Linked DNA regions of Cricetulus griseus. Each later gene encodes a partner of the first gene's protein in a complex. Links are inferred from orthologs where the notes say so. Each region holds a gene or a part of one and is shown in the gene's direction. Other genes may lie near its edges.

Region 1 (3,660 bases):
AATTGCTGCTTTTCCATGCAAAATGACCCCACCAGATGAGTTAGTCACATATCACTCCCATGACTGCGCTCTCCTCCATAATTCCGTCATGCCAATCCACATTTAAACATTTCTTCCCCACAAGTAGTCATTTCCTAATAGTTTGCCAGCTCAGAAAGGCCACATAGTGGCATACAATGCTCTCATACAACGCCCCAGCAGAGGGCACTGATGAGTCTCCTCTGGACTGGCTGTAGGATTTTTTCCTGGGGAGATGGGATGATGGGATGGGAGATGAAGAAATGTGGCTGGACTCTTAGAGATTGAGCAAAGCTGATATTCTGCACAGTCCTTGCAAACCTCTGGGAACAGTCATTTCCACGTCCTAGGAGCAGGCCCAGGCATGGATCCAGGGGATGCCTTCAGTTGGTTTCTTTTCTATCAGGAATTGGTCTTTGACCTGGGAGACCCTGTGAGATGGGAGTATATGCTCTTGGGGACCGATAAGCCTCACCTGTCTTTGACTGAAGAGGATGAGGATGTGCTGGATGATGATGATGACATAGACAATCTGGTGAGTCTGGTGGCCTGAGGGTGGGTTGAGGGACTTCACCTGTTCTGCATCAGGCAGCCTGACCTGAAAGACACCCCTGAAAACACATGCATGTGTGTGGAGTCCAGATGTAGCATACACTCCTCAAAGAAGAGGAGCCTTTACTGAGCCTTCATTTTACAGATGGGTAAACAGAGGCCCAGGCATGTCCAGTGGCCAGCCTAGGACTTCCCAGTGGGTTAAAGAGTGACAGTGCCTGAATTCAGCCTTTCCCATCTGAGTCCTGTTATTCATGGTTGGGCTGATCCTTAGAAAGCGTATCTTTTTGGAGTGGGAGCCCAGGGCTGGCCACTCTGCTAGCTCCTCCTTAGTCACCATTGTGACTTTCTATCAAGGCCTTTCCTTCCTAGGTCCTTCCTACTAGGTCTTGTAGAGATCATGGGCCCGGGGGATCCCCTCACCAGCCTTCCTTCTGTCATCTCCCAACAAGGGATATGTGTGGGAGGAGAGAGGAGGGGTGCTTCCTGCATGATGTCTTGAGTGAGAAATCAGAGACTAGGAGCCCAGGGGTCTTAGTCAAATTCCCCTGCTTTGGGATCTTCCATTCCTCCTTATGTGTAAAAGTAGGTGAGGGTTATAGTCTCTTTGGTATCCATAGGCCAAGTAACAGGTGTTTTAGTCATCTAGCATTGCCATAACTAAGTGTTACAAACTGGGAGTCCCACACTACTGGAGGCTGGAATTTCAGGGTCAAGGTGCTGACCGGGCTGTTTTCTTCTGAGAGCCTCTGGGTTTGCTGATGGCCATTCATGCTGTGTCTCTACGAGTCTGTGTCCTAACTCCCTTGTCTCATAAGAACACTTAGCATATTGTAAGGTTACCTAAAGACCATATTTAGACTTCATTGCCTCTTCCCTAAAGACCTTTACTTCCAAGATACTAGGGGTGAAGGTTTGGTGTGTGATTTTAGAGGGAGGCTGAGTGATGGTTTTAACAACAGGTGATATTGGTGTGGAGACAGGCTCTGCTTGGTGTGGAGTCTGAACTCACTCATTTAAATCGCCACCTGGGAAACTGAGAACTTACAGACAGCAGGCAAAATGAGTCACCAAAGGACCCACCCAGGAAGTGAGAGAGCTGGGAGCAGAACCTAAACAGTGTGGCATATCTGGGTTCTCAGTAGTGGTGATTCAGCTCTGGGAGCTGCCTGAGAATGACTGAGTCACCCTGTTCTCCAACTCCTCATTTCTGAGCACTGGCGCCCCCTGCTGGCTGTGAGCATGGATTAGCAGCGTGCAGCGCATGCAATCCTGAGTTGGAAGCCTTGTCACATCCCTAGAGTGAGAGAGTCCTTGTTACCTCCAACATAGACAGATGATACAGCCTGAGAGTCAGCACTCAGCTATGGGACCAGACCTGGCCCTGGGATTTCTGGGCTTTCTCAAAAAGTTCTGCCAATGCCCCTTGCTGACGGCTCACCTTGTGTATTCCTGAAAGAAGTCACAATTAGATGAGCAAGTGTCCAAGGTCTGAACGTTGTTTGTGGCAGGAAGTGTACACATGGAATATCATGAGACTAATTTGAGGGTCATTTGTCTAGACCAGGCCTTACTTCACAGACTGGGGATGGACAGCCAGACAGAGTCTCAAGCCATGTTCATGATATCCTTTAGTCTTCCCAGGTAACAGCTAAGGAAACCAAGGCTTAGAGGATTTCCCCAGCCCTCCTTACCTGGTATTAGGTATAGTTAAAGGTATGGCTATGTCTGACTTGGGATCTCCTGAGTAGCCATCATGGCCTCAGGTGGTTTGGCTGGAAGGGCAGAGTATGAGAGCAGGCATTATCATCTTAGACCAGGCAAGTAGGGGATGGGGTCTGCCCCAGCTGACTCCTCTTCCTCCCCATCCTGATGGTGCTCCTGATTCCTGGATCCTGGGGGAAACTGACAGCCCCCTTATTAACCCTGGGTCTGGGGAAAGGGACAGAGCTGTGTCAAGGCCTCTGCTCCAGGGCCCTGGCCAGCATCCACCTCCTCTCCTCACAGGGCAAAGAAGAAGAGGATAAGAGCTTCGACATGCCACCTTCATGGGTCGCCCAGATTGAGATCACCCCAGACGGTCTCTGTCCTTCACCACTTCCTAGCCCCCAGGGAGTTCTGTACCCATAGCTAAGGAGAGAGGCCATAGGGGCCTACTGAGCCTTTCTTTCCACCCCTCTTTAACACCCCACCAGCTCTGTGCCCAGGGCCTGACACCATCTGGCACACAACTGGATTGTTAACATCATGACTAACAAGGTCTGGAACATGGCCTCTTTCCTTCCTTCAAATTCCCTGTTCGAGGAGGCCATAGGCAAGACCTGTAGCAGATGATGTAAGGGGGTCAGGCTCCAGGAGGCAAGGGCAAAGAAGGCAGGAGAGTGGGTTACCTTTTGCTCCTTGTCTACATATGCCCATCTGGGAATACTTAGACCCAGAAGAAGAGTGCAGGCTGTTCCAGCCAGTAACAAGTGCTGGAGAAGAGGTCATGGACCCTGGGGTGGGGGCACTCATCACAGCTCAAGAAGTAAGTACCACTGGAGCTGGATTTCAAAGGGTCAGAAGTCATCCCAGCATAGTGTTCTCACTGGTGATAGCCTGCCACGGCTGTGGGTGGCTGGGTCACAGGTATGATTCTTGGGTGGCACTGGGATTCTGGTGTGGATGCCTTGGGAAGAGTTTAAGACAGCACTAGTGGCTATTTTCTTCCTCCCTGGGGCTGTTTCTGGTCCTGGAGGCACTTTATAAGTGATGCAGAAAATGAATGAATGGCTAGGAAGAGTGGAAGGAGAGACCCCAGTCCCCTCTGCATTCACAGAGTTTGAGACCCGTTGCCCCAATGGAAAGAAAGTGATACGGTACAAGAGGGCACAGCTGGAGAAGTGGGCCCCATACCTCAACAACAATGGCCTGGTGTGCCGCCTCACCGTCTATGAAGACCTACAGTGTAAGACACCTTGGGGGCCAGAATGGGGGACAACCAAATGTACTAGGTGACTCTGGACATACTACTTCTACTTTCTTGATGTCTGTGGGACAGAGGTCAGAGGAGCTGGTCTGCCTGCAGCAACCATCTTTGGTTACCTACAG
Region 2 (4,458 bases), on another chromosome or scaffold:
TTTTGAGATAGTTGCTCAGACAAACCTCTTACTTTGTAGTAATTATGGATTTGTAGAAAACCTGTCAAGATAATATAGGTTCTCTGCATACTTCATTCAATTCCCGAGATGTTACTTTATAGGTCAGAACTAAGAAAGTAACATTGTCAAACCTGGTGTGACTGCAGTGCCTGTACTCCTCACATTTGGGGATGGAGGCCAGAGTTTAAGGACATCCTCTCCCACATAGCAAGCTCCATGACAGCCTGGGCTACAGGAGGCTCTGCCTCAAACAAAGAAACACATAGGTAAGACGCTATTGATACAATACTGCTAACCAAACCTTGAACTTGGTGGCTTCCCAGCTGTTACTCTGATGCCCTTCTCTGTTTCAGAACCTAGTCTGGACAGTGGTTCTCAACCTTCCTGACACTGTGACCCTTTAGTACAGTTCCTCATGCTGTGGTGACCCCAACCATAAAATTATTTGTTGCTACTTCATAGCTGTAATTTTGCTACTGTTATGAATCATAATGTAAATATCTAATATTCATGATACCTGATGGGGGTCACGACCCACATGTTGAGAACCACTGGTCCAGGACATGGACTGATTGGTCTCAAAAAACAAGTAAGAGATGGATAAATGAAGATACCCAATGGTGACCTCTAGCCTGCATATGGACATGTAATATGTGTGCTCACATGCACACAGATGCATACACTACACACACATATACATCCCCACACACATGCTCATCCACACATACATGCATATCTACACACACCAACACTCTATTCACATGGATACTACAGGGGCATACACACCTACACACTTACACACTTACACCCAAACACACACATTCCTGACATGTGCTGGTGCGCTGTTACCCACCCTGCTTGCTTTTGCCCCATTCAGGACATTCAGGACATTCACTGTCATTCAGGACAGAGCTGACCTGTTCAGCTCTGTCTGTGTCTTGTCCTATTAATGTCCTACTCTATGACCTTTCTACTGTGTCCATGTCCCATCCTACTCTGTGACCTGTGGTGCCTTGTCCCAGCCTCCTCTGTGTGCTGGGCTGTGACCCAGGCTCTTCAGCTGATTTCCCACTGGTTTGGGGCAACATGGGGAGGAAATGCAAGCAGGGGCAGAGCACATTTTCCACGCTCTGCTTTGCTTGTACAGCACTTCCAGCTACAGCTTCAACTCCTCTGGGGTCTGCTGCCCCTGGTCCCCCCAACTCACATCTTCTCCCTGTGTGACTTCTTGCTGTTGACACTGCTAGGTGACCTCCGCTGCCTAAAGCTGGCCTCTCTACATTTCTGCCACTTGGGTAACCCCCATATGAAAGTCCTCAGAACAGTGACTGTCTCTTGCCTGGTATATGTGCCCAGGACTCCCCTCCACCCTCAGTCCTCTTACTCCAATGGCTCAGTCAAGCACCAAGCATCATCACAATGCTAAAAGATAAGGTAACCCCAGCACTTGGGTCAGGGGTAAGGACAGACTAGGCTATAAGAAATCCTATTTCAAAAACAAACAAACAAACAAAAAATCAAATCAAAACAAAAATCCAAAGAGCTAAAAGTAGCTTCCAGGTTCTATGGAGTGGTGTCATGGCCATTATACCTAACAGCCACCCCTTCCTTTGCAGGGTTGCTGACTGAAAAGCCAGGAGAACCTTGAGTTGGCTGACGTCTCAATGCCGGGGTATACAGAGGCAAAGTCAGCCGCTCCAGAGATGGCCTTGGCCTTGGACATCTTCAGCATGCCCCCTTCCTACGATGGCCTGGCCATCCATAGAATCCCACTGAGTACAGACATAATCCCAGTTATGCCAATGAAGACCTTGACCCCATCCAAATCCAAGCTCAACACCATCGAGGCCAAGAGAATCATGACAGTCCTGGATGAGGCCATACAAAAAGTGGGGCTGGTGACCCTGATGTCCTACGTGGAGTCCCACCCAGATGCTCTGGAGGGAGTGTTCCCTGAAGACTTGATGAGGGCCATCAGAGAACATCTGGACATCGGCCAGGTCTTTCTGGAGGGTGCCAGCAACCTGCAGGAGAAACAAAAACTGCTGGAGGAAAAGAAGGCGGATGCTGAGGAAGCCTGGTGCCGGGACCGCCTAATGTCTATAGAACTATACAAGGCCAACCTGTGGCCACTGGCACACCAGTTCCGAGATTCCACCAAGGCCATCCTGAGGCTCCTGTCCAGCCAATCCCAAATCATCACACTGCTGCAGGCACGTGCACCAGGCAGAAGCCGGGGGGCGCAGCGCCTCCTTGAGGCCCTGATAGAGCTTCGGGGCTACCTCTTTGAAAAGCTCCTCACCAGCCCTATGGAAGTAAGGGAGAAGAACCAATTCATACAGGACATCAACCGGAGGAATGAAAGGAACCAAGAAGTCATTGATGCTCTCCAGGCCGAGCTGGCGGAGGTGCTAAAGAATAAGGAGGCAGAGGTATACTTCCCAGCATCCCTCAGGTTCCGGGATGAACTGCGTGGGCCAAGCCCTTTGGGACTTGGCTTTTCTTTCGTTGATTCAAATAGCTTCCTCATCATTTACTCTGTAGAGATTGTCCTGAGCATTTTACTAGGAGGTTATATCATTAAATAAATCCAGCCTCAAGAGCTCACAGGACATTAAGGAATTAGTTGACAGCTGTTCGGAAGTGTGAAGGGTAAGGACAGGGCACCATGGAGGGATGATACGAGAGAACTGAACTCGGGCCGGAAGGACCAGGGACACTGCCACTAAGACAAGAAGGATCAAGAAAGGGGGACTGCACCGGGCATTGGTGGCACACGCCATTAATCCCAGCACTCGGGAGGCAGAGGCAGGTGGATCTCTGTGAGTTTGAGACCAGCCTGGTCTACAAGAGCTAGTTCCAGGACACCTCCAAAGCCACAGAGAAACCCTGTCTCGAAAAAAAACAAAAACAAAAACAAAAAAAAGAAAGGGGGACTGAGCCAGACAAGTGACTGTCATGTCAGTCCTGGATGAGGCCATACAAAAAGTGGGGCTGGTGACCCTGATGTCCTACGTGGAGTCCCACCCAGATGCTCTGGGGCTGGCAAGGTGTCTTTGTTACCAGCTAAGTGAGTTCTTCATCTTACATAGGAGAGACATCAGATACATGGGGGAGGGGTTGTAGAGACGGCTTAGTGGTTAAAAGTGCATACTGTTCCTTTGAGGGACTCACAGGGACTCAATGCACAGCCATGGCTGGTCTGGAATGCCGAAGACTAGGCTGGCCTTCAACTCATAAAGATCTCCCTGCCTGTGCCTCCTGAGTGTTGGGATTAAAGGCCTGTGCCATCACACCTGGTATATACCGCTCTAGCAGAGCAGAAGAGTTCAGTTCCCAGCACCTATGTCCAGCAACTCACAAACACCTGTAGCTCCAGCTCCCAGGGATGTCGCCCTGCATTCATGTGTACAATTTCTCTCTCTCTCTCTCTCTCTCTCTCTCTCTCTCTCTCTCTCTCTCTCTCTCTCTCTCTCTGTCTCTCTCTCTCTCTCTCTCTCTCTCACACACACACACAATTTTTAAAATTATATTCAATCTTAAAAGAAATCTGAAATCCAAGAATATTGAAACAAAAGAAAAGTGAAAGCCTATTATGAAAAGAAGTACAGGGTTGGCTAGTGATGGAGCACACCTTTAATCCCAGCATCCTAGAGGCATAGGCAGGTGGATCTCTGTGAGTTCGAGGCCATCCTGGTCTACAGAGAGAATTCCAGGGCAGTCAGGGCATGGCTGAGTGGGTAAAAAGCTTTCTGTACAAGCTGGGGAATCTGAGTTTGAGCCTTGGAGCCCACTTTTTTTTTTTTTTTAAGCTGGTATGATGGTGTACCTATGTAATCTCAGCATTGGGGAGGTAGGGATGGGGGACCCCTGAGACCAGGGGCTAGCCAGCCTAACCTAAGCCACAAGCTCCAGGCCAATGAGAGAGGTGGATGACTGGTGAGGGTGCACATACATGCAAGCACATATCCAGAGAGTTACAGCAGGCTACTCTACAGCTGTGAACACAGAGCTGTGTTTCATCTTATGGACAGGTTTGAATATTTGAACATTCAGAGGTTCTATAGGAAGCTTAAAGTGTACCTGTATGCACATTGCTACCAACCCTGCCCCCACCCACAGTTGACTAGTTAGTATATTATAGTAAGTCCCAGGGTTAGTTACAATTCAGATCTGTCACATCTTGATGGCTGTGGGTCCTCAGCAGCTGCTGTCTTCCTGCAGCCTGCTTTCTTTTTGGCTCTGTATCTCATCTCCAAAGGGTCACACAATCCACACACTGGGCTTAGTGGGCCAGTTGTCTCCACATGACTCTGCTGTTAGTGTGGAAGCAGCCAAAAACAGTATCAGAACAAAAGGGCTGTGTCTCAATTTATTGACAGGTATGGCTGTTTGGATCTGGCTTATGAGCCTTTGTTTGCTGATCCCTTTCCTAGG
Region 3 (3,660 bases), about 29 Mb from region 1:
TGCACATAGGGTACAGTGCAGGCAGTGTGGACAGCAAAGGACCATGTGCCATGGGTGTGGCGATAGTGAAAGTGACCCTTCTACAGAAGCAACATACTTAGGGCGGGTGGGAAGTGGTTTCTCCCTAAAGAGATATCTCCTGTGAGGGTCCTTGTTGCTCACTCCAGTCTTATTGTCCCCAGGTGCAGCAGGAGAGAGACGACCTCTATCGTAAATTCACTGCAGCCATCCAGGAGGTGCAGCAAAAGACAGGCTTCAAGAACCTGTTGTTGGAGCGTAAACTGCAGGCACTGAATGCTGCAGTGGAGAAGAGGGAGGTGCAGTTCAACGAGGTGCTGGCAGCCTCCAACTTGGATCCTGCAGCACTAACGCTTGTGTCCCGAAAACTGGAGGTAAGTGCTGATGGCCTTGTGGGTCACAGTGTTTGTTTTCCATGGTGGGTCTTTCAGTCCTGTGCTTTGCCTTCTTGGATGGCACAGAGACCCCCTCAGTGAAGTCAGGGGCTGCCATGGTTTCTGCATCTGAGAACAGAGCATGTGCTACAGGCCCTTGTGCACTGCACCTGTCCATTTCCGGTTTTGCTCCCTGCTCTGCCTCTCTTTTTTTTTTTTTTTTTTTGAGACAGGAATTCAGTATGTAGACCAAGCTGGCCTCAAACTCATAGACATCTGCCTTCCTCTGCCTCATGAATGCTGCCATTAAGGGCATGTACCATACGTAGCTTTGCGGTCTGTCCTGAGCTGTCCTAGTCCCTCACTAACCCTATCCCTAACCTGCGTCTCTGGTGTCCCTGTTTTACCGTGGTCATGTGTGTGCCAAGCCTTGGCCTATAGTCAGACTTTCTTTGGACTGCCAGCTCCCAAATAATGACATGGAGGCTTCTTGTTAATTATGAAAGCTTTGCCTTAGCTTAGGCTTGTTCCCAACTAGCTCTTATAACTTAAATTAACCTGTTTATATTAATCTACATTCTACCCTGTGGTTCATTACCTCTGCTCAGTACTTTGCATTCTACTTCCTCAGTGTCTGGCTGGTGAATTCCACTGCCCAGCAACTGTAGAGTTTTAAAATTTATACAATTTTTTTTTTCCTTTAAAAACAATTAGGGCCAGGCAGTGGTGACACACACCTTTAATCCCAGCACTTGGAAACAGAGGCCAGCATGGTCCATAGAGTGAGTTTCAGGACAGCCAGGGCTACACAAAGAAACCCTGTCTACAAAAACAAAACAAAACAAAAAACCACAGACAAAATGAAAACCAAACATACAAAAAAAAATAAAGTAAAATAAAATTAGGGCCTGGGTAGATGGTTGGTAAAACCTTATTGTAGAAGCATGAGGACCAAAGTTTGGATTCCCAGCACCTACAAGAAAAGCTGGCTGTGTTGGTGTGTGCACCTGAATTTGAGCTTTCTATTGCTGTGATAAAATATCATGACTAAAAATAATTTGGGAGAAAGGGTTTATTTCACTTACATGTAGTGTAAATTGAGTATTTTCTCTAATTTTGCTAAATGCAAATGGATTAGGTAGTGTTACTCTCATTCTTTTGTGGGGAGAGGTGTTCAAGACAGGGTTTCTCTGTGGCTTTGGAGGCTGTTCTGGCACTCACTCTGTAGACCAGGCTGGCCTCGAACTCATGGAGATCCGCCTGCCTCTGCCTCCCAAGTGCTGGGATTAAAGGAGCGCACCACCACCGCTTGGCTATTACTATCATTCTTTTTTTTTTTTTTTTTAAAGATTTTTATTTATTTATTATGTATACAACATTCTGCTTCCATGTATATCTGCACACCAGAAGAGGGCACCAGATCTCATAATGGATGGCTGTGAGCCACCATGTGGTTGCTGGGAATTGAACTCAGGACCTCTGGAAGAGCAGTCAGTGCTCTTAACCTCTGAGCCATCTCTCCAGCCCTACTATCATTCTTAATAACTGTTTTTGTTGTAAGTAATCTTTCTATGTTAAATTAAAACCTTCCATTTTTAATTGTAAAGATTTGTTATTCAAATTGTTTTAATAAAACACAGATTGGCCAGTAGCCAGGCTGGAACTATAGGCAGGGTGACTAAACTAAGAATTCTGGGAAGAGGAAGGGCAGAGTCACAGAGTTACCAGTCAGACTGAGAGGAAGCAAGACGAGAATGCCTTACTGATAAAAGGTAATAAGCCATGTGGCTAAACATAGATAAGAATTATGGGTTCATTTAAATGTAAGAGTTAGTAATAAGCTACTGGCTGGGCATTTATAAGTAATTTGGAAAGCAGCTGCCGGGCATTTGGGGGTAGTCTTCTGCCTATACTTACATTTCTACATCTCAGTGCATCATGGTGGGGGCGGGGGGGGGGGGGGGCAGTCAGAGCAGGAACCTGAAGCAGAAATTGAAGCAGAAGCCATGGATGAATGCTGTTTACTGACTTGCTCCTCATATTTTCTCAGCCTGCTTTTGTTTGTTTGTTTCTCTTTTTTAAGACAGGATTTCTCTATGTAGCCCTGGCTGTCCTATCAACCTGTTGTCTTATCTCATCCCTGGTATACCCAGGACCACCTGCCCAGGGATGGTACCACTCACAGTGAGTGGGGCCCTTCTGCATCAATCATTAAGAAAATGCCCTATAGGCTAGTGATGCACACCTTTAATCCCAGCACTCAGGAGGCAGAAGCATGCAGACCTCTGTGAATTTGAGGCCAACCTGGCCTACAGACTGAGTTCGGGGACAACACAGAGAAAGCCTGTCTCAAAAACAAACAAAACAAAAGATGGAGAGCAATAGAGGATGACACCCAATATTGACCTCTGTCCTGTGTCACATGTCCTATGTCACACACACAGAGATCAACTGCTGTTTCATCTTGGCAGTTTGGTGCTTCATTGTAAGGATGTAGGCAATACAAAGATTCTACTGTTGTCCCCTTCTTGTTGTTCTTACAAGGAAAAGTATCTTGCCTTGGATACTTTTCCTGCTGACAAACTTGTGTGGATGCATGTATGGGCTGAGGCAACCTAGACTACTACTTCCTGAGCCTTTCTAACCCTAAGACTAGTGTCCACCTCTATCAGATGACGAATATTAAAGTCGCCCTTGTCTCTCTCCTTAGGATGTTCTGGAATCGAAGAATACCACCATCAAGGACTTACAGTATGAGCTGGCCCGGGTCTGCAAGGTATGTATGGCTCATCCCCATCCCCAGAGCCCCACCTTCTCCCTCAGGGCTGTCTCCTCCATAGAACTGTGCTCCTGTACCCAGCTTCAGCTTGTGAACATTCTAGATGAAGGAAGGGTCCCTGAGGCCCTCTCTCATTTCTTCTGCATGTTTCATTCAGAAGGTAGGTATGGTAATCCCCTTGTGATATGTCTTCATAGCCTTAGGGCTTGAGAGTGACCTAGTCCTGGCTTTGCTTATAGGTCTGCCTGGCACACACTTAGGACTCTGTCTCCTACCATGTTCAAATTTGTCTCTCCCTCACCCTTCTTTGCTCAGCTGGCCCCTCAGGCAGGCAGTTGGAAGTGTCTCTCTGCTCTTCCACATGAATGCTCACTGCAGTAAGTCACTCTCACCCTTTCGTTACCTTTGTGAATCTAAGGTAGCTCCATACCCTTACACACTAACATGTGTACCCACTGGACCCTGGCTGCCATCTGTCCCATGCACCTG
Region 4 (3,660 bases), on another chromosome or scaffold:
CTTTTACTGTTGTATCTATTTCTTCTATCATATCTTCAATGTTGGTGAGACTTCATGGTGTAGATTCTCTGAAGTTTCCAGGAGACACAGAGATTGACTTTTAAAAAGTCTTCCCTGAGGTTTAAACCCCAGAGTCCATAAAGACTCTACCACTGAGCCTCACCTGCATTCAGATGTTTAACCTTTAAGTCTCTGTGTTCTGGGAGTTTCAGACTACCGAGCTATATTAACATGAATTGTCAAAATGCTCATCATAGACCTTAGAGGAAGCTGAAGAAATTGTTCACATGGTACAGAAATTCTGAAACATGATGTCCCTAGATGGGTTTGATTTTCTCTGATAATGGATTCTGAAGACTCTACTCATACAGACTCATATGAACATTAAAAATAGTTGTCATTTGGATGACAGTGTATTCTACTTAATAGCCACCCATAGATTTATTTTTTGTTGAAACAATAAATCTCTTAAAAACTCATCTGTTCAATTGGGATCTATGAGCCTTTTAATAGGATTTTTGAAAGAAAGTGCAGGATTTATAGCTCCGTATAAATTGCCTGACATGGAAGTTAAGGTCAGTAGAGCTTTGTTCAGTCGGTCGGAGTTGAACCCGGAAGCAAAAAAGACTTGTTTCTTTCTCGTTCTGTAGTGCTAGGTGCCAAAAGCTCTCATCTTTAGAATAGTATTTTCTTAACTTAGGATGACAGAGCAGAGTTCTAGTACTCAGGAAAGTATTTCATAAGTACAAGAATGATTTGAGATGTAGGTCGGTCCTTGAGATGATGTATTCAGGGTTCCTCATTTCACGGAAAGACAGTGCATTTGTGCAAGTCAGAATCTGGGAGTCATTTTAGATGCCTTTTCCCCCTAATCTGTAATGGGTGAATGCTGTCACTCTGTCAAGTCTTCTTAAAGGTCACATACCCACTCTCCTCATGGCCACCACTCCAATCTGCACCATCACCCTTTGTCTGAAGTAGCCACCTCATCCACAACAGAGTGACCTTTCAAAACACACACCTATGAGACTGTCTGTGGTTTTGCATTGTTCTCAGGATAACAGGGAATGGCTGTTCTGGGGATGATAGGGTCTCTCTCCAGCCTCTTCCAGCCCAGACACTACAGTTGCCAGTGACTTCCCTGATGCGCTGATGGGAGAGGCTTCCTGTGCTCTGTGCTCCACTAGACCCACATTCCTTTGCTCATGGTGTTTGCATAGATCTAGATTTAGACATTCAAGCCAGGCATGGTGGTTCATGTCTGACATACCACCATAGGGGAGGCTGAGCAGGAGGATCATTTCAAGTTTGCATAGTAAAAACAAATTGGATACTTGCTTTTGTGTTCGGTGTGTGGGAGCACACATGCCAGAGGTTAACTCTGAGTGACAATCCACTGTGATGCAATTACACACCTTGCTTTTGACATGAGTGCTAGGAATTGAGTTTAGGTCCTCAGGGTTGAGTGGCAAGCAGGTTACTGAATTGTATGTGTCTCTCCTGCAGAAAACAAGCTCCACAAGCTGCATTTGTGTCTATAGTCTCATCACCAAGTCCTAACCTTGTCTCAGTGTTTGAAAGAAAGTAGTTGCTCAGTATATTTGTTGAATGAATAAATGACTGTTTCTAATTGTTCAGGTGGAAGAAGAGGAACCCACCGGATACATTCGTTTTGAAAAGTTTCTTCCAGTGATGACCAAAGCACTTCTGGAAAGAAAGTAAGGAAGTAAATCCAATTTTAAGACAAGATAACTAGAATGGCAGTAATTTCAAAACATTTGGCTGGCCAGGTGTGATGCCTTATGCCTGTAATTCCAGCATTGATGGGCTGAGGAAGGAGGATTGCCACAAACCTGAGGCTAGCCTTAGTTATGGAGTTTCAGGCCATCCTGAGCTACAGAGTTTTGCCTCAAAACCAAACCAAACCAAACCAAACCAAACCAAACCAAACCAAACCACTTGGCCTTTTATATTTTATTTACCCAGTCTATATCTTAGGGTAGTTTCCTCTAGCCTTTCAGTGTACTGCAGACTGGTTTAGGGATGTGCTTATAAATATAAACCATGCTAGCATTTATTAATACAAGCAAGAAATAATGAAAAGGAAAAGGAGCTACAAAACCAACAACATTGTAGTTATATTTAACTGTGAATTACTATTTAAAAATAAAAATTAACATTAGTTACTTTCCTAGCATAAGACAGCATTAGCATATGACAGTTGATTGATTGTAGATGTTTTGGTTGTAGATAAATTTATTTTTATATCAATGAGAAAATGCTAATAGGTAATACCAAACATTCCTGTGGGGTAGGTACTGTTGACTTTCATATCCAGAAATCCAAAGAAATTTCATCAAGGGAAATGCCATTAGCATAGTATATTAGTGGCTTTTATTTTGCCTAATGCAGTCATTTATCATGTAGAGACTGAGATAAATATGCTGGCATTAACTCACTTTATTGTAAAATTACAGATACAGACCAATTGGTGAAGATGTCCTTCTCAGAGCTTTTGAGGTGGGTGAACTCCAGATTATTCATGTATATGTGAAAAACTAATTCATCATATAGTATTTATTCAACAAAGAAAATATATCTACTTTCCCCAGGTTTTGGATCCAGCTAAACGAGGGTTTCTGACCAAGGACGAACTGATCAAATACATGACTGAGGAAGGTCAGAGCACTTTATTTCTTATTTGAGTAATTTATGCAAAGATAAATAGGCTTAAAGATGTTTATTTTTTAATTGTGTGTGTGTGTGTGTGTGTGTGTGTGTGTGTGTGTGTCTGTGTGTCTGTGTGTCTGTGTGTGTCTGTGCATCTGAATGCAGTACCCATAGAGACCAGAAGCATCATGTCCCCTGTAGCTAAAGTTACAGATGGTTGCCAGCAACCTGACATGGATACTGGAAACTGAACTCAGGTTCTTGGCAAGAACAGTGCATGGTTTTAACTGCTGAACCATCTCTCCAGCCCAATTAATAAGTTCTAAACAATTATGCAAAAGTTATGGGAGGCGATACTTTAAAAGCAATTGTTTGGTTAAATAATTTATTTATTATTCCTATTATTTTGGTTTGGTATTTGATTTTGTGTAATAGAAGTGTAATGATTACTTGTATAAATTGTGTTTACTTTATTCACTTAAAATATTTTCTGAATAAAAGACATGCCACTTAATATGAGCTGTCAATCATAAACCAATGCCTTTTTAGACAGAAGATTTGAATTATAGTATATAAAAATTTCTTTCAAAAGACTGTCTTCGGTGGTAAAGTTGCAAACAATATAGCCTAATTGAATGCAAATTCACGCAAAACTGTATTTTCTTACGATAATGGGACCTCCTCTGACAAATACCTATATATTTCCTTAAATGTTCTCTTTTTATGTCAATATATATATGTGTGTGTGTGTTTCCGCTAACTGTAAGCAGCATGATGGACAATCATTAATGCTGTTCAGACACACACACCCTGCACTAAGGAAGGAGTTCTGCTTCCTCTACACACACACACACACACACACACACACCCTGCACTATCTTCAGCTCCCAGATGCACAGGCCACGTGGTGAGTGATGCAACAGTCACCCATCAGTTGGACATGGACATGGGTATCATTTTGAGCAAGGAGACCAGTACTGGAAGCTCTAT
Region 5 (4,315 bases), on another chromosome or scaffold:
TATATCTGGGAAGTGTGCACAAGGCTCACCAGCCCCAAGTTCCATGGGTTGTAAGCACCATAGAGGCAAGTCTGACTCCTCTCTTCCCTCTACAAAATGTACAGAGTGATGGCTGGAGACATGGTCCAGCAGTTAAGAGCAAGCACTGCTCATGCAGAGACCCCGACTTTGGTTCCTAGCACCAACCATACTGATGGACTGCCCACAGCAGCCTGTAAGGCCAACTCTAGGTGCTCCAATGCTCTCTTCCAGCCTCTTTGGGTACTGCACTCACATGCACAAACCCACACACATATAGCGAAATGAAAAATTAAAATTAAAAATCTTTTCTAAGATCTCTAAAGTGCCATGGGGTTAAATAAACACTCATTGACCTTCTGCTTCTTCTTCACAGGTGAGAGATCTTCCTCCCACGTCTTATACCTGTTTCTGCAGATTTGCTTCTGATAATATGCAGTTGACCAAAATTCTGGAATAGACAGAAGTGCCCAAAAAGAGTCTGTAGATCCCATAATCCACAGGGAAGAAGGAAGGCTTACTGTTCCATTCTATGTATGATGCCATTGTGATGCCCAGTAATGGCCCGGTTCCAGGATGGAGCCCTCCCAGATGGAGGGGGCAATAGCAAGCTACCCCATCACACTCTCTACCCACAATCAATTTTTTAAATCATATGCAAGATGCTAGAAGGCATCCCCCAAAGAGAATCTCCCCCATATTGTGCAAGAAATACTAAACTGCAAAATTTAGGAGACTCTGGTCAAAGCAAGTCCACTAGAGGGAGCACTAACCAACTCTATGCTGCAGAGAGCTTGGGGGCTTCTAAACACCCTGTCTGCAGAGTAACCTCACAGAGAAATAGGGAGAGTGAGACAATTGTTGAGCGGGAGAGAAAGAAGTCCTAGAAACACACCACTGAGTATATATATATATATTATATATATATATATATAATATATATATATATATATATCCTTATTTTACATAGCAATCTCGGTCCTGTCTTCCCATGCCCACCCACCCCCATCCCATTCCCACTGCCGTCCACTCCCCAGGGAGGGTAAAGCCTTCCCAGGGGGATCATCAAAGTCTGTCACATCATTTGGGGCAAGGCCTAGGCCCTCCCCCATGTATCTAGGCTGAGAGAGTATCCCTCCATAGGGAATGGGCTCCCAAAGTCTGTGCACTAGGATAAATACCGGTTCCACTGCCAGAGGCCCCATAGACTGCCCTGGCCTCCCAACTGACACCTATCTTCAGGGGGCCTGGTTGGGTCCTATGCTGGTTCCCCAGATGTCAGACTGGGGTCCGTGTGTTCCCACTTGCTCAGGTCAGCTGTTTCTGTGAGTTTCCCCAGCATGGTCTTGACCCCTTTGCTCATCCCTCCTCCCTCTCTACAACTGGACTCCAGGAGGGAACTACAAAACTTATACACCAAGAAATCCAAGCTGAGCAAAATTAAGTAGCTCAGTTCGCAACTCTGCCTAATTTGTGGCCTCCTTTCTGGGTCAGCATCCCCAAGTCCACAGCTCTTCTCTGTTCTCATTTCTCTTAAGTGGAAAACTCTCAACTACCTGTGCCAGCACGTGTTTCCTGCACAAGCCACAGATAGCATTTCTGAAGTAGACCTCAAGTTCTAAAGCAAATCATGTCACTGTGTTCATGAGACCTCGGGATATAAAGTACCTGCAATGGCTACTTTCCCTGCCTTTCTTCTCCATCTGTAAAGCACTAGCCTCTCACACTGGATGCTTCTAGATTTCTAGACTGCAAAGTCTCCAGATGATAGGCAGTGCCTGTGTAGACATGAATAATAGCTATTCAGCTCCAAGACCTTTTCTTTGCGGGTAGGAGGGGAATCTACCTACACAGGACCTTTGTGTGAGTCAATTTAGCCCATTCTACCTGCCTATGAACACAGTGTTTCCCGGTTGCCTGGGCAGCAGGCAGTCTCCAGAAACCCAACATCCCAGTTCTTGGTCCTGCCTCTTGGGGAAGTTTTTCAGCCTGGATTGGCTCCCAGGACCCAGGCTCCTTCCTCCCTAGGCTCAATCTGCTTGGGACTCTATCTTTCCCAAGGAGTGTTATTCCCCAGGGAGACAGCACTCAAGCAAGAGAAGGTCCTCCAGGTAGGAAGGGGAAGAATAAGCATGTTGGGGAGACAGAAGGGACCAGGTCCAGAGATTTATCTTCTCTAAAAGGGCTGTCTGCTGCCCATAGAATTGCTCTACCTCCCAGCCTTGCCTGGGGTTCCCAGGAGACCAAGAACCAAAGCTTCTAGAAAGTGTAAGATACACTGGAAGACTAGAATTCTGACTGCCCCAAGACCCCTACCTCTAGGAGTCAGGAGAGCATTTCTGTATGCAGACCTACACAGAAGGTCTTCCCTCCCCCAGGGCAGCAAGGATGCCACCTAAAACCAAAGGAAAGGGGAGAAAAACTGGGGCACAGAAGAAGAAAAAAAAATCAAGTCCTGGTGAGTCACAGGGCGTGTCTGTGACACAAAGGTCCTCGGAGGGAATCCAGCCCTCTGGGCAACAAATGGAGTGGGTTTGTTTTGGTTTTGTCTTTTGTTCTTTTGACACAGGGTCACTATGGGACCCAGGCTGCCCCAGTCTTCATAGTGACAGGATTACAGGCGTTGCTACCACACTTGGCTAGGGTGAAGCTTCCTGGCCCTCCTCTGCAGATCCTTGCGTCCAGATTCCATGGGGCTGAGGAAGTGGAGAATGCCTCCTTCCCAAATTCCCCCTGGAGCCCCATCTAGTTCTTTGCCCTCATCATATTTTTCACCCTTATTTTGAGCACCCACCGTGCACATGGTGGGTGAAGACTCTGCCACTCAGCCGTAAATTTGTCAGATTTGCCATTGGGCCTCCCTCATCCAGCTATCTTCCTCCATCACGAAGGAAGAAGTGCAGGTGCAGAGCAGCACTGGGGTGAGGCCGAGAGAAGGATAACCTGAGACTATTGTCTTGCCAGAACAGATGCAGAGGCTGAGGCCAAGCATAGGATGGTCCTGCTGGAGAAGGAGCTGCTTCAGGACCACTTGGGTAAGAAGTTTGAAGCCTCAGGAGATGGCAGAGATAGAAGTCCTAGTTAGGGTCATCGTTGCTGTGATGAAACACCATGACCAAATCAACTTGGGGAGGAAAGGGTTTATTTGGCTTAAGCTTCCAAATCACTGTTTATTATTGAAGAAAGTCAGGATAGGAATCCGAGTAGGGCAGGATCCTGGAGGCAGGAGCTGATACAGAGGTCATGAAGGGTTGCTGCTTACTGCCTTGCTTCACATGGCTTGCTCAGCCTGCTTCCCTTTTTGTTGTTGTTGTTTTATTTTGTTTTGTTTTTCGGTTTTTCGAGACAGGGTTTCTCTGTGTAGCTTTGGAGCCTATCCTGACACTCGCTCTGGAGACCAGGCTGGCCTCGGACTCACAGAGATCCGCCTGCCTCTGCCTCCCGAGTGCTGGGATTAAGGCGTGCGCCACCAATGCCCAGCTCAGCCTGCTTTCTTATAGAACGCAGGACCACCAGCTCAGTGGTGGCACCATCCACAGTGGGTAGGCCCTCCCCATTAGTCACTAATTAAGAAAATGCCCTAAAATCTTGCCTACAGCCTGATCTTATGGAAGCATTTTCTCAGTTGAGGCTACCTCTTCTCTAATGGCTCTAGCTTATGTCAAGTTGACAATAAACTAGCCACCCAATGTATGGAACATAGGGCATTTCTGGGTTCTTGGGGAACTGGAAAGTTTGAACTGTGTGCAGGGCTAAACCAAGATAGCCATTAATCTATTTGCAAGATTGTGAGGAAGGGCTAGGCAGTGAAGATCAATGAAAGAAGCTATCTCCCACCCCTTCCCCCAGCTGGGAATAGAATCACAACTTCATTCATGATAGGTAAGTAGTCTACCATGGAGCTAACCTGCAACTTGGGGAAGCCATTGTCTTATAGTGGCCAGAACATGGAGGGATTATTGACTTAGGAATGAAAACCCTATGGGTTTTGGGGCAACTAATAAAGAGTATACGAAATTGACACCTGTCACCAAGTTCACAGAGGTGAACTTAGTTCATGGAGGCCATGGTGATTGGTTCTGTAGGACCCACAGCCAGACCTGAGCATGGCTCTTGACACTGTCCACAGCTCTCCAGAGGGATGAGACCCGCAGAGCCAAGGCTTCTGAAGAGAGGCTGAAGCAGAGGTTGCAAGGGCTAGAAGCTGAACTGGAGAAGGCCCAAAGTGAAAGGGATGCTGTCTATGCAGGTATGATTTGATTGGCCAGGTGGGCAGGAGACAAAGGCATGGAAGAGG
Region 6 (3,660 bases), on another chromosome or scaffold:
ATGAAAACAGTCCTATTTGCTTCAAAATTAGGAAAATGTAATAGTTAGCATATCTGTTTCTGAAAATCTTGAGGGGAAAATGACAGTATCTCCTCATTGTTGGTCCTCTACAGTAGTTAACCTGTCTCTGTTCTTTCCTCTCCCAAAGGTCTTGGTTGAGAAGTGTCTCCAAATTTCAACGGTGGTTTTCATTGGCTCACCACACATCTCTGACTGTGCTTTCAAAGCTCTTACTTCCTGTAACCTCAAAAAGATCCGATTTGAAGGTCTGTGAAGCCAAAAACATGATTTAACCTTGTTTTTAAATTTTTTTCCCTGGACCTTTAAATATAGTACTTGTATTTCCTTCTTTTCCACAGGAAACAAAAGGATTACTGATGCATGCTTCAAATACATAGACAAGAATTACCCAGGTATCAATCACATCTACATGGTGGACTGCAAGACACTAACAGACAGCAGCCTCAAGTCACTTTCAGTTTTGAAGCAATTGACAGTGTTGAACTTGACCAATTGCATAAGGTAAGAAGTCATTCAGGGTATGTCAACTCAGGGTTCAAGTAACATTATCAAGGATGAGCCAGTCCCTCTCCACAGTGTTAATGGGGATCAGGAAAGGCAGGGGACCAAGTCTTACTGTGTAGATGAGTTTTCTAGTTTGACTGATAGAGTAATTATATAATCATTTTTGACGGCACATGCATCTGATTTTAATCATACACATAGGCCCAAGACTGTACGCAGAGGATTTTCCCTAAAAGTTCACTTGAAAACACAGTTTTGTTGTATTGCACTAGCTCCCAAAACCAGCTGAGCTGGCTCGGCCTATTTTTCATTCTAGATATCTGGAAATCTTTTTGAAAGGAAACTGTCTAGGTTTGATTGTTGTTAGGAGAAGGACAACTTACACTGTTTCTCACAGAGGTTTACAAGTAGCGCAGTGTGGGTGGGGCTTGAGGGGGCTCTGAGGTTGCTAGGTACATTGTGTGCCTGGAAAGGAGCTAATCTATCTCAAACTAAGCAGAGTCTCAGGTTACTAAACTGTCCTGCTTCCGGTGGGTTCTTTCTTTGTGAACTCTCACTCCTGTTTCCTTGCCCACAGTGCTGCCTTTCTGCTTTCTTTTGCAAATCTTTTCCAGAGACACACTTCTCAGTCTTATAGCTTGGGTTCTATATTTTATTTTCTTGTTAGTGAAAACATTACTCATTGATTACTCCAGTCTGGTGTTAGCTAATAGGTAAGTTTGTTGTGTTTGGACCCTGCTCTTCGTCATGCCTCACTTCCCACCCCACCAGCCTCTGGCTTGCCTTCCTAGCTGCTGGTACAGCAGTGACTGGGTGAGATGCATCATGGGAATCACTAAAGTTTCCATTCGCTGGAATACTGTTATGATAGTTTTTAATGTCAACTTTGTCACAATTTAGAATCACCTGAAAGGATTTCCAACCTGTCTGTCAGGTTAGCCTGTTGGCATGTCTGGGGGGGGGGGGCTTGTTAATTGGCATGGGAGACCCACCCTGACTGTGGGCAGCACTATGCCCTGGTTTGGGGGTCCTGTGATGGCTAATCTTGTTTGGTAATTTAACACAGCCTGAAAGAGGGGCCCTCAATTGAGCAATTGCTTCTTTCAGGGTGACCTGTGGGCATGACTATGTCTTGATTGCTTTTAGACGTAGAAGGGCCTAGCCCACTGTGGGAGATGGTGTCTCTGAGTGGGTGGGCCTGGGCTGTCTAGAGCCTAGTAGCAAGCATCTCTGAGGTCGGTGTTTATTCCCTGCCTTTGGTTCCTGCCTGAACTTTTGTCCTCGATTCCTCTGATGATGGACTCGAAACTGTAAGGTGTAGTAAACCCTTTCCTCCCCAGGCTGGTTTTGGTCAGTGTTTTATCATAGCAACAGAAAGGAAACCAGGACAGGCCTTGAGTAGTATGAGGAGGGAAAGCTAGCTGAGAGCAAGATGCCCAGCAGGCAGCTTGGGTGCCTGGGTACCTTCAGCTCTCTCTGCTCTTGACTGCGGATGGGAAGAGACTAGTTGCTTTGAGCTGACCTCCCTCAATGGTGGACTGTAACCTAAAACTATAAGTAAGTACGCCATCTCAGAAGCTGCTTGGCTAAGGGTGCTTGGCTCATTGAAGCAACAGAAACAATCACCTTCTGCCTTTTCTGCTCTGCTCCTGGCGAGTCAAAGGGAAAGTGCAGCCAGCAAGGAAGGCTCTGAGTGCTCTTCCTGCCCGCACACCCTCCTGTAGACTGTCTGTGTGTGATATAATCAATCGCTTGTCCTGTTTCACTGGTGGAAAGGCTTTCTAGAGACGCAACTGGTGGTCTTCAGATAATATTAGAAGTAAAGCCCTCCTGGAAGACCGAGGACAGTACAGGGAGATAGCGTGGCCCCTCAAGGCGCTTCTAATGACGACAGGCTGAAGTCACCGACTTCTTCCAGATGCAAGTTTTCTCTGGCCTAGAGTTCCAAAGGTCACCCCTTGTGTTTCTGGTCCAACCCAGGTGACCTTGAATTCGGTAGAATCCATCCAGGATCTTGAGTCTTGCTTCTTCCTGTTCTAAAATTTGGCCTTAGCCTTTTGCTGATCCTATCAGGGATTTTTTAACCTTAGTACATTTTAAACTGGAAAAAAGAGATCATCCATGTTATTAATAATCATGCCACCTAATAAAACAAATGGACACAAATAACATTTTATTAATATCTCTCCTATTACTATCATATATCCATTTTCTGTTATATTAAGAGCTATGCAATCATTTTCAAAAATTTGACAAAACGCCAGTGTATGGATATTTCCTACTTTGGAATGTATTTGGTGTAGAAACTGGTGTCACCACCAGCCTGTATGTTTATTTATGAGAACATATGTGACCCTTCTGTCTCTCTTTTCCACAGGATTAGTGATGCTGGCCTGAGGCAATTTCTTGATGGTTCTGTGAGTGTGAAGATAAGAGAACTCAATTTGAATAACTGCTCCCTTGTGGGCGATCCCGCCATTGTGAAACTGTCAGAGCGGTAGGACAAGCGACAATCTGCATTAGAACATTAGCTGTAACAGGCGTGACCATGGATAGACCTAAAAGCCAAGAGCCCAAGTCCTTAGCTGCATGTTGGGCACACCCAGAGCTAGAATAGCCGTTAGGCTTGAGTCCTTAGAAGGAAGTAGCCTAACCCCATCGTTGCTGCTCCCTCTTATTGTTACTGGGTTTAATTCTGAACAGAGAGATGGATGTGTAGATAGTGTGACTTGTCTGCACTTTTCAAGGATTCTGTCCCTACTTCAGGTTTCCTGAGGACTATTGTAGATGATTGATTTAATCCTGACCCTCCTCGCTTGGCAGTGGCCTCAACTAAGGCTCCTGCCATAGACCAAGGAGAGAGAAGTGTGGAGGTTGGCCATGCATGTCTGGTGTCTACTCTTCAGGGTGTTTTCATGCTGGTGTTTTATGACTCTGAAAAACACTTTTCTTGCATTGTTCTAAACCATAGTGTGAAACGAAATCAAAGACAGTCTCATATTACTCCACCTTTCTTCCCTCCAACTTTATATTAGCCAGATGGGGCTCCTATCCCAAACCCCAGCACTTCACAGGCTGAGTCCAGAGGACTGCCATGAGTTCAAGGCCAGCCTAGAACTACAAAATGAGTTCCAG
Region 7 (4,396 bases), on another chromosome or scaffold:
CACACAACACAAAAATATCCTAAGGAATTAAAATAAGCCAAGATGCATTGACAAGTATTCTGTCGGACCTTTGGGAGGTGGGAGCCTTAATCTTTCCTTTAAAACCATGTTAGAGACTGAACCCTGGGCCTTTCTACAACTGTAATTTTTCTAAAAGCCAAAGTTCCCTATATCCACTATCACCGACAACATAATTCTTCTATAATTTCCTTTAAGTTCCTCCTTGTGGCCTCTAAGCAAATCAACAACAGCAACAATCTACACTAACACCTCTACTCTTTCAGTAGAAAAATGAGGGGGACCAAACAGAAATTGAAAGGCATCCAAACACACTTACTTTTTTGCTTTATACACGTAAGCACATCTCTTGCCCAAGTAGAATTCCGTTTCATCTCGGGCATAAACACCTTCAATTTTGAGAAGAGCTGTGTGCTCTCTCTGGTTCCGGAGACCTCGCTTATAGCCAGCAAAAATGGCCTTGCACCACAGCCTAAGACACACAAGACAGACATTATGAATAAACTTTACAACTGTTCATTTAACTTCTGGCAAACCACCGTGACTTGTTTTGAAGAATTCTTACAACAGCTATGGAAAGCAAATTATCTTGTTCCCCTCCCGCATGATTTTAAACCTGGGTTTCACATCTAGTTAAGATTTAAAAAAAAAAAAAAAAGGAAAAACCGAGTCTCATACCTTCCAGACATGTTTGCCTTTTAGAAGTCCTGTTCCCAGCAGGCCTGAAAACAAACAAGATCTCAAGTTAGAGCCGTGGAGCACGTTTCCCACCTGTCAACTCCTTTTCTGGAGCACGTTGGGCGAATTCAGTAGCACTTCAAGTACTGGGAACTCCTAACTCTGCCATACCAGCTACAGAGGTAGAGCCTGGCAAAAATACTCAAGACTTCTGAGAATGAATGACGACAACTCACTACTCCGGAACCTGGAAAAGCTAGGTTCGGGGAAGACTCAAGATCTAACTTGTAGAAACCCCAGAGGCAAACCTAAGCCAGTTGGCAAAACTCTGCAGAATGCACAGGTAACACGCACAAGGTCCAGCTCGGGGAAAGCAGCCTCTAGGCATCACCGCTTCCCGGGCAAGCAAGACGGACGAAATGCAGCCTCCGGAGCCCGAGGAGCAGCCGGGACCTGCGAGCCTCCCTCCCCACGGCCGGGGGCCTCAACACCATCGGTCCCTCATCTCCGCCATCCCGCCCTCCCTCTTCCTGGAGTCCCCAGAAATGGACGGCGGTCAGGGCCTCCGAGGTGCAGGGGGGTCTCGGGGAGCGGCGCAGACAAACCCACCCCAGCAACCGGCCCCCAAAGTTGAGCAGCGGGAGCCTCGCTCACCTCCACCGGCGCCAAGATGGCGGAAAGAGGAAGGCAAGGCCCGCCGCGCGGCCTTGTGGGATGCACGCCCCGCCCCTCGCCGCGCTTAGGCCGCTTGCACTCTGCCGGAGAGCTATCAGGGAGAGAGGCTCGACTCGGACAAGCCGCGCTCAGGAACTTTACTTTCTTTTCCTGTTCTTTCAACTTTCTAAGCGGCGACACGTAGTACTTCGGGGGGGAAAAAAAGGCAAAATTGTAGTCGACTAAGAAAAAGGCAAAGGTCCTAACGGAAAAAAAAAAAGAAGCCTGCGCGTTGCCATAGCTACGCCTTAGTTTGGGTCCCGCCTCCTGCCGGGCTGGTGGAAAGGTGAGGAAAAGGAGGGTTTTTTTTCCCTCTTCCTTGAATGGAGGACAGAAAAACCTGGAGCACGAAGGCAGGGGAAGCTCTCGTCTTTTCTCTTATCTAAGCCTTTATCTTTCACGAAAACAAACAGGGCGTGGTGACTCCTGCCTGTTAATCTCAGCACTCATTCCGGAGCCTGAGGTATCGCGTCACAAATTCGAGGCCGGACTGAGTTAGATAGCAAGGACCCATGTTAAACTAGGGCAACATACGAGGCAAACCGCGGGTCGCGGTGCTTGTTTGTAATCCCAGTATTGTGGGTGCGCAACCAGGAGAATAGTTCGAAGGCTACACAGGGACTGCTAGTCAGCCTGAGCTAGGAGACCCCTCTAAAAAGGGGGAGAGGGAGTGGGGAAGGTGAGAGATAGATATATTCATTCCTCCGTTGTTTTACTTGTCAGGTGAGGATGAATTTAGTAGACTCAGATTCACATTCTTCTGCGCTGACTGATGGATTCGTTCATTTATTCAGCAAGTACTGCATGACTGCCACTACAGAGAATGGTGTAGTCTTGAGGGCACTGCAGTAAACAGCAAAAACTTCCCCCTCTTGCAGCCTGCATGGAGGAGCAGGCTGGGCACTTTGGCTCTTGTGTCTGTAAGACTGAAGTATGAAGATTGCTTTATGTTTTCAGGCCAGTCAGAGGGACATAATGTGTACAAGGATATCCTGGGCTACAGAGTAGGACCCTTCACTCACTCATGCCCGCCCCCCCCCAGAAAAAAATCACAAGACAACAATCAGATAGAGCATATGGTATGTTAAAAGGTGATAACTTCCTTAAACCAACCAACCAACCAACCAACAAAAATTGTTTATGAAGCCCGGTGGTGGTGGCACCAGCCTTCCTTTAATCCCAACACTCGTGAGGTAGATCTCTGTGAATTCAAGGCCGGCCTGGTCTACAGAGAAAATTCCAGGACAACCAGGGCTACACAGAGAAACCCTGTCTTGAAAACCAAAACACTGTTTATGTACACATATGTATGTCACATGTATGTGGGTGTTTTCAGGGGTCAGAGGAGAGCCTCAGATCTAGAACTAGATTCATATGCAATTTGTTTTGTTTTGTTTTTTTCGAGACAGGCTTTTTCTGTGGCTTTGAAGGCTGTCCTGGAATTACCTCTTCTAGACCATTTTAAAGAGCAACTAGGCTGGAGAGATGGCTCAATGGTTAAGAGCACATATTGCTTTTACAGAGATCTTGTATCTACATCACATGGCTCACAATGACCTATAATTTCAATTTTAGGGAATCTTCTGGTCTTCTGTATGTCCATGGGGTGAACATAGGGCCAAACAGGCACACACACATAAGTAAAAAAAATAAACATTAGCAACAAAGACAAGGTCTCACATAGCTTACCAAACTCCCTATGTTAACCCAAGGATGGCCTTGAACTCCTGATTCTTCACCCTCCCCTTTCCAAGTACTGGGATTACAGATTTTTGCCACCATGCCCAGCTCTGAAGGATAATAACTTATTAAACTGATTTCCAGGGTTAATATAGTTTTTCTGGGGCTGGAGAGATGATGGCTCAGCAATTAAGAGCACTGACTGCCCTTCCAGAAGACTTAGGTTCAATTCCTAGCACCCATATGGCAGCTCACAACTATCTATAACTCTGGTTCCAGGGGGTCTGGCATCCTCACACAGACACACATGCAGGCAAAACACCAATGCACATAAAAAATTAATTAATTTTTAAAAAATAGTCATTTTTTTTTTTTTGGTTTTTCCAGACAAGGTTTCCCTGTGGCTTTGGAGGATGTCCTGGAACTAGCTCTTGTAGACCAGGCTGGTCTCGAACTCACAGATAACCGCCTGCCTCTGCCTCGTGAGTGCTGGGATTAAAGGCGTATGCCACCAACGCCTGGCTTAAAAAAATACAGTCTTAAAAAATAAATAAATAATATAGTATTTCTAAATGTGATCTCAATTGTTCTAAGTCAAGGTACAATAAATTCTATAATCTGACAGAACAGGGTAGATTCATTTAATTCAATATAGAGGAGAGAATAATAGAAAAATAATAACTAAATCTGTTCTATAGTGATTACCAATTCAAAATCAGGATACAATGAAACATACTAAAATTGTACTTAAATTACCTTAAGAAGAGGCAAAAGGCTGCGTTGCATGTATCTTCTGTTTGGTAGACCAGTAATAAAGCCAACCACTAAATAAGCCTCACCACATGAGTCTGCTCCACTAAGGAGAAGGAGACAAACCATAGCTCTTGTAATTCTGCATTTTTTTTTTCTCCTAGTGAAAGAGCACGGGAATAAAAAATAAATAAAAAAAAAAACAGGATTCAGCATTCTCTTGAACTAATGGCATTTCTTTCCCATTTAAGCTTACTGCATTCTTGTGAAATTATAAATCTACCCCAGAGGACAACAGAAGTAACTCAGGAAAAATGGACGGGTACGTTCAAATTCCAGTTTGTACATATAGTATGACATTATGTGTAAAAATTAAATTCTGTGGATTATTTATCTGTTACTGTGTAACAAACCACTGTTGTGAATATTACTTTAACTAGGCAAAGATGTGTCACATTTGGTTTTGCTATGGAATATTCCTTTAACTGTGCAAAGGTGTGTTACTTTTGTTTATGCTGCATTTGTTTAACTATGTAGAGATGTGTTGCATTTGTTT

The links.
Region 2: Drc7 (region 1) and Iqcd share a complex: the UniProt entries of both Homo sapiens proteins name them as parts of the nexin-dynein regulatory complex. The link is inferred for Cricetulus griseus from reciprocal best matches to the Homo sapiens genes DRC7 and DRC10.
Region 3: Drc7 (region 1) and Gas8 share a complex: the UniProt entries of both Homo sapiens proteins name them as parts of the nexin-dynein regulatory complex. The link is inferred for Cricetulus griseus from reciprocal best matches to the Homo sapiens genes DRC7 and DRC4.
Region 4: Drc7 (region 1) and Efcab2 share a complex: the UniProt entries of both Homo sapiens proteins name them as parts of the nexin-dynein regulatory complex. The link is inferred for Cricetulus griseus from reciprocal best matches to the Homo sapiens genes DRC7 and DRC8.
Region 5: Drc7 (region 1) and Ccdc153 share a complex: the UniProt entries of both Homo sapiens proteins name them as parts of the nexin-dynein regulatory complex. The link is inferred for Cricetulus griseus from reciprocal best matches to the Homo sapiens genes DRC7 and DRC12.
Region 6: Drc7 (region 1) and Fbxl13 share a complex: the UniProt entries of both Homo sapiens proteins name them as parts of the nexin-dynein regulatory complex. The link is inferred for Cricetulus griseus from reciprocal best matches to the Homo sapiens genes DRC7 and FBXL13.
Region 7: Drc7 (region 1) and Iqcg share a complex: the UniProt entries of both Homo sapiens proteins name them as parts of the nexin-dynein regulatory complex. The link is inferred for Cricetulus griseus from reciprocal best matches to the Homo sapiens genes DRC7 and DRC9.

Annotation. Positions count from the first base shown.
Region 1 is NC_048596.1:171,276,547-171,280,206, forward strand, and holds part of Drc7 (dynein regulatory complex subunit 7), read left to right. Parts: intron 1-424; coding exon 425-553; intron 554-2,577; coding exon 2,578-2,650; intron 2,651-3,388; coding exon 3,389-3,517; intron 3,518-3,660. UniProt on the Homo sapiens protein: Component of the nexin-dynein regulatory complex (N-DRC) a key regulator of ciliary/flagellar motility which maintains the alignment and integrity of the distal axoneme and regulates microtubule sliding in motile axonemes.
Region 2 is NC_048597.1:100,410,510-100,414,967, forward strand, and holds the start of Iqcd (dynein regulatory complex protein 10), read left to right. Parts: upstream 1-1,657; 5' UTR 1,658-1,685; coding exon 1,686-2,453; intron 2,454-4,458. UniProt on the Homo sapiens protein: Component of the nexin-dynein regulatory complex (N-DRC), a key regulator of ciliary/flagellar motility which maintains the alignment and integrity of the distal axoneme and regulates microtubule sliding in motile axonemes.
Region 3 is NC_048596.1:200,184,179-200,187,838, forward strand, and holds part of Gas8 (dynein regulatory complex subunit 4), read left to right. Parts: intron 1-182; coding exon 183-392; intron 393-3,102; coding exon 3,103-3,168; intron 3,169-3,660. UniProt on the Homo sapiens protein: Component of the nexin-dynein regulatory complex (N-DRC), a key regulator of ciliary/flagellar motility which maintains the alignment and integrity of the distal axoneme and regulates microtubule sliding in motile axonemes.
Region 4 is NC_048598.1:15,668,634-15,672,293, reverse strand, and holds part of Efcab2 (dynein regulatory complex protein 8), read left to right. Parts: intron 1-1,638; coding exon 1,639-1,718; intron 1,719-2,477; coding exon 2,478-2,520; intron 2,521-2,612; coding exon 2,613-2,679; intron 2,680-3,660. UniProt on the Homo sapiens protein: Component of the nexin-dynein regulatory complex (N-DRC), a key regulator of ciliary/flagellar motility which maintains the alignment and integrity of the distal axoneme and regulates microtubule sliding in motile axonemes.
Region 5 is NC_048597.1:155,926,527-155,930,841, forward strand, and holds the start of Ccdc153 (coiled-coil domain-containing protein 153), read left to right. Parts: upstream 1-1,377; 5' UTR 1,378-2,129; intron 2,130-2,396; 5' UTR 2,397-2,406; coding exon 2,407-2,476; intron 2,477-2,502; exon of another isoform or gene 2,503-2,541; coding exon of another isoform or gene 2,542-2,546; intron 2,547-2,982; coding exon of another isoform or gene 2,983-2,987; coding exon 2,988-3,053; intron 3,054-4,147; coding exon 4,148-4,267; intron 4,268-4,315. UniProt on the Homo sapiens protein: Component of the nexin-dynein regulatory complex (N-DRC), a key regulator of ciliary/flagellar motility which maintains the alignment and integrity of the distal axoneme and regulates microtubule sliding in motile axonemes.
Region 6 is NW_023276806.1:172,973,885-172,977,544, forward strand, and holds part of Fbxl13 (dynein regulatory complex subunit 6), read left to right. Parts: intron 1-148; coding exon 149-266; intron 267-359; coding exon 360-522; intron 523-2,902; coding exon 2,903-3,022; intron 3,023-3,660. UniProt on the Homo sapiens protein: Substrate-recognition component of the SCF (SKP1-CUL1-F-box protein)-type E3 ubiquitin ligase complex.
Region 7 is NC_048597.1:56,495,596-56,499,991, forward strand, and holds the start of Iqcg (dynein regulatory complex protein 9), read left to right. Parts: upstream 1-1,470; 5' UTR 1,471-1,696; intron 1,697-1,723; exon of another isoform or gene 1,724-1,873; intron 1,874-4,091; 5' UTR 4,092-4,154; coding exon 4,155-4,162; intron 4,163-4,396. Other genes in the region: Rpl35a (60S ribosomal protein L35a), read right to left, coding at 338-490, 697-707. UniProt on the Homo sapiens protein: Component of the nexin-dynein regulatory complex (N-DRC), a key regulator of ciliary/flagellar motility which maintains the alignment and integrity of the distal axoneme and regulates microtubule sliding in motile axonemes.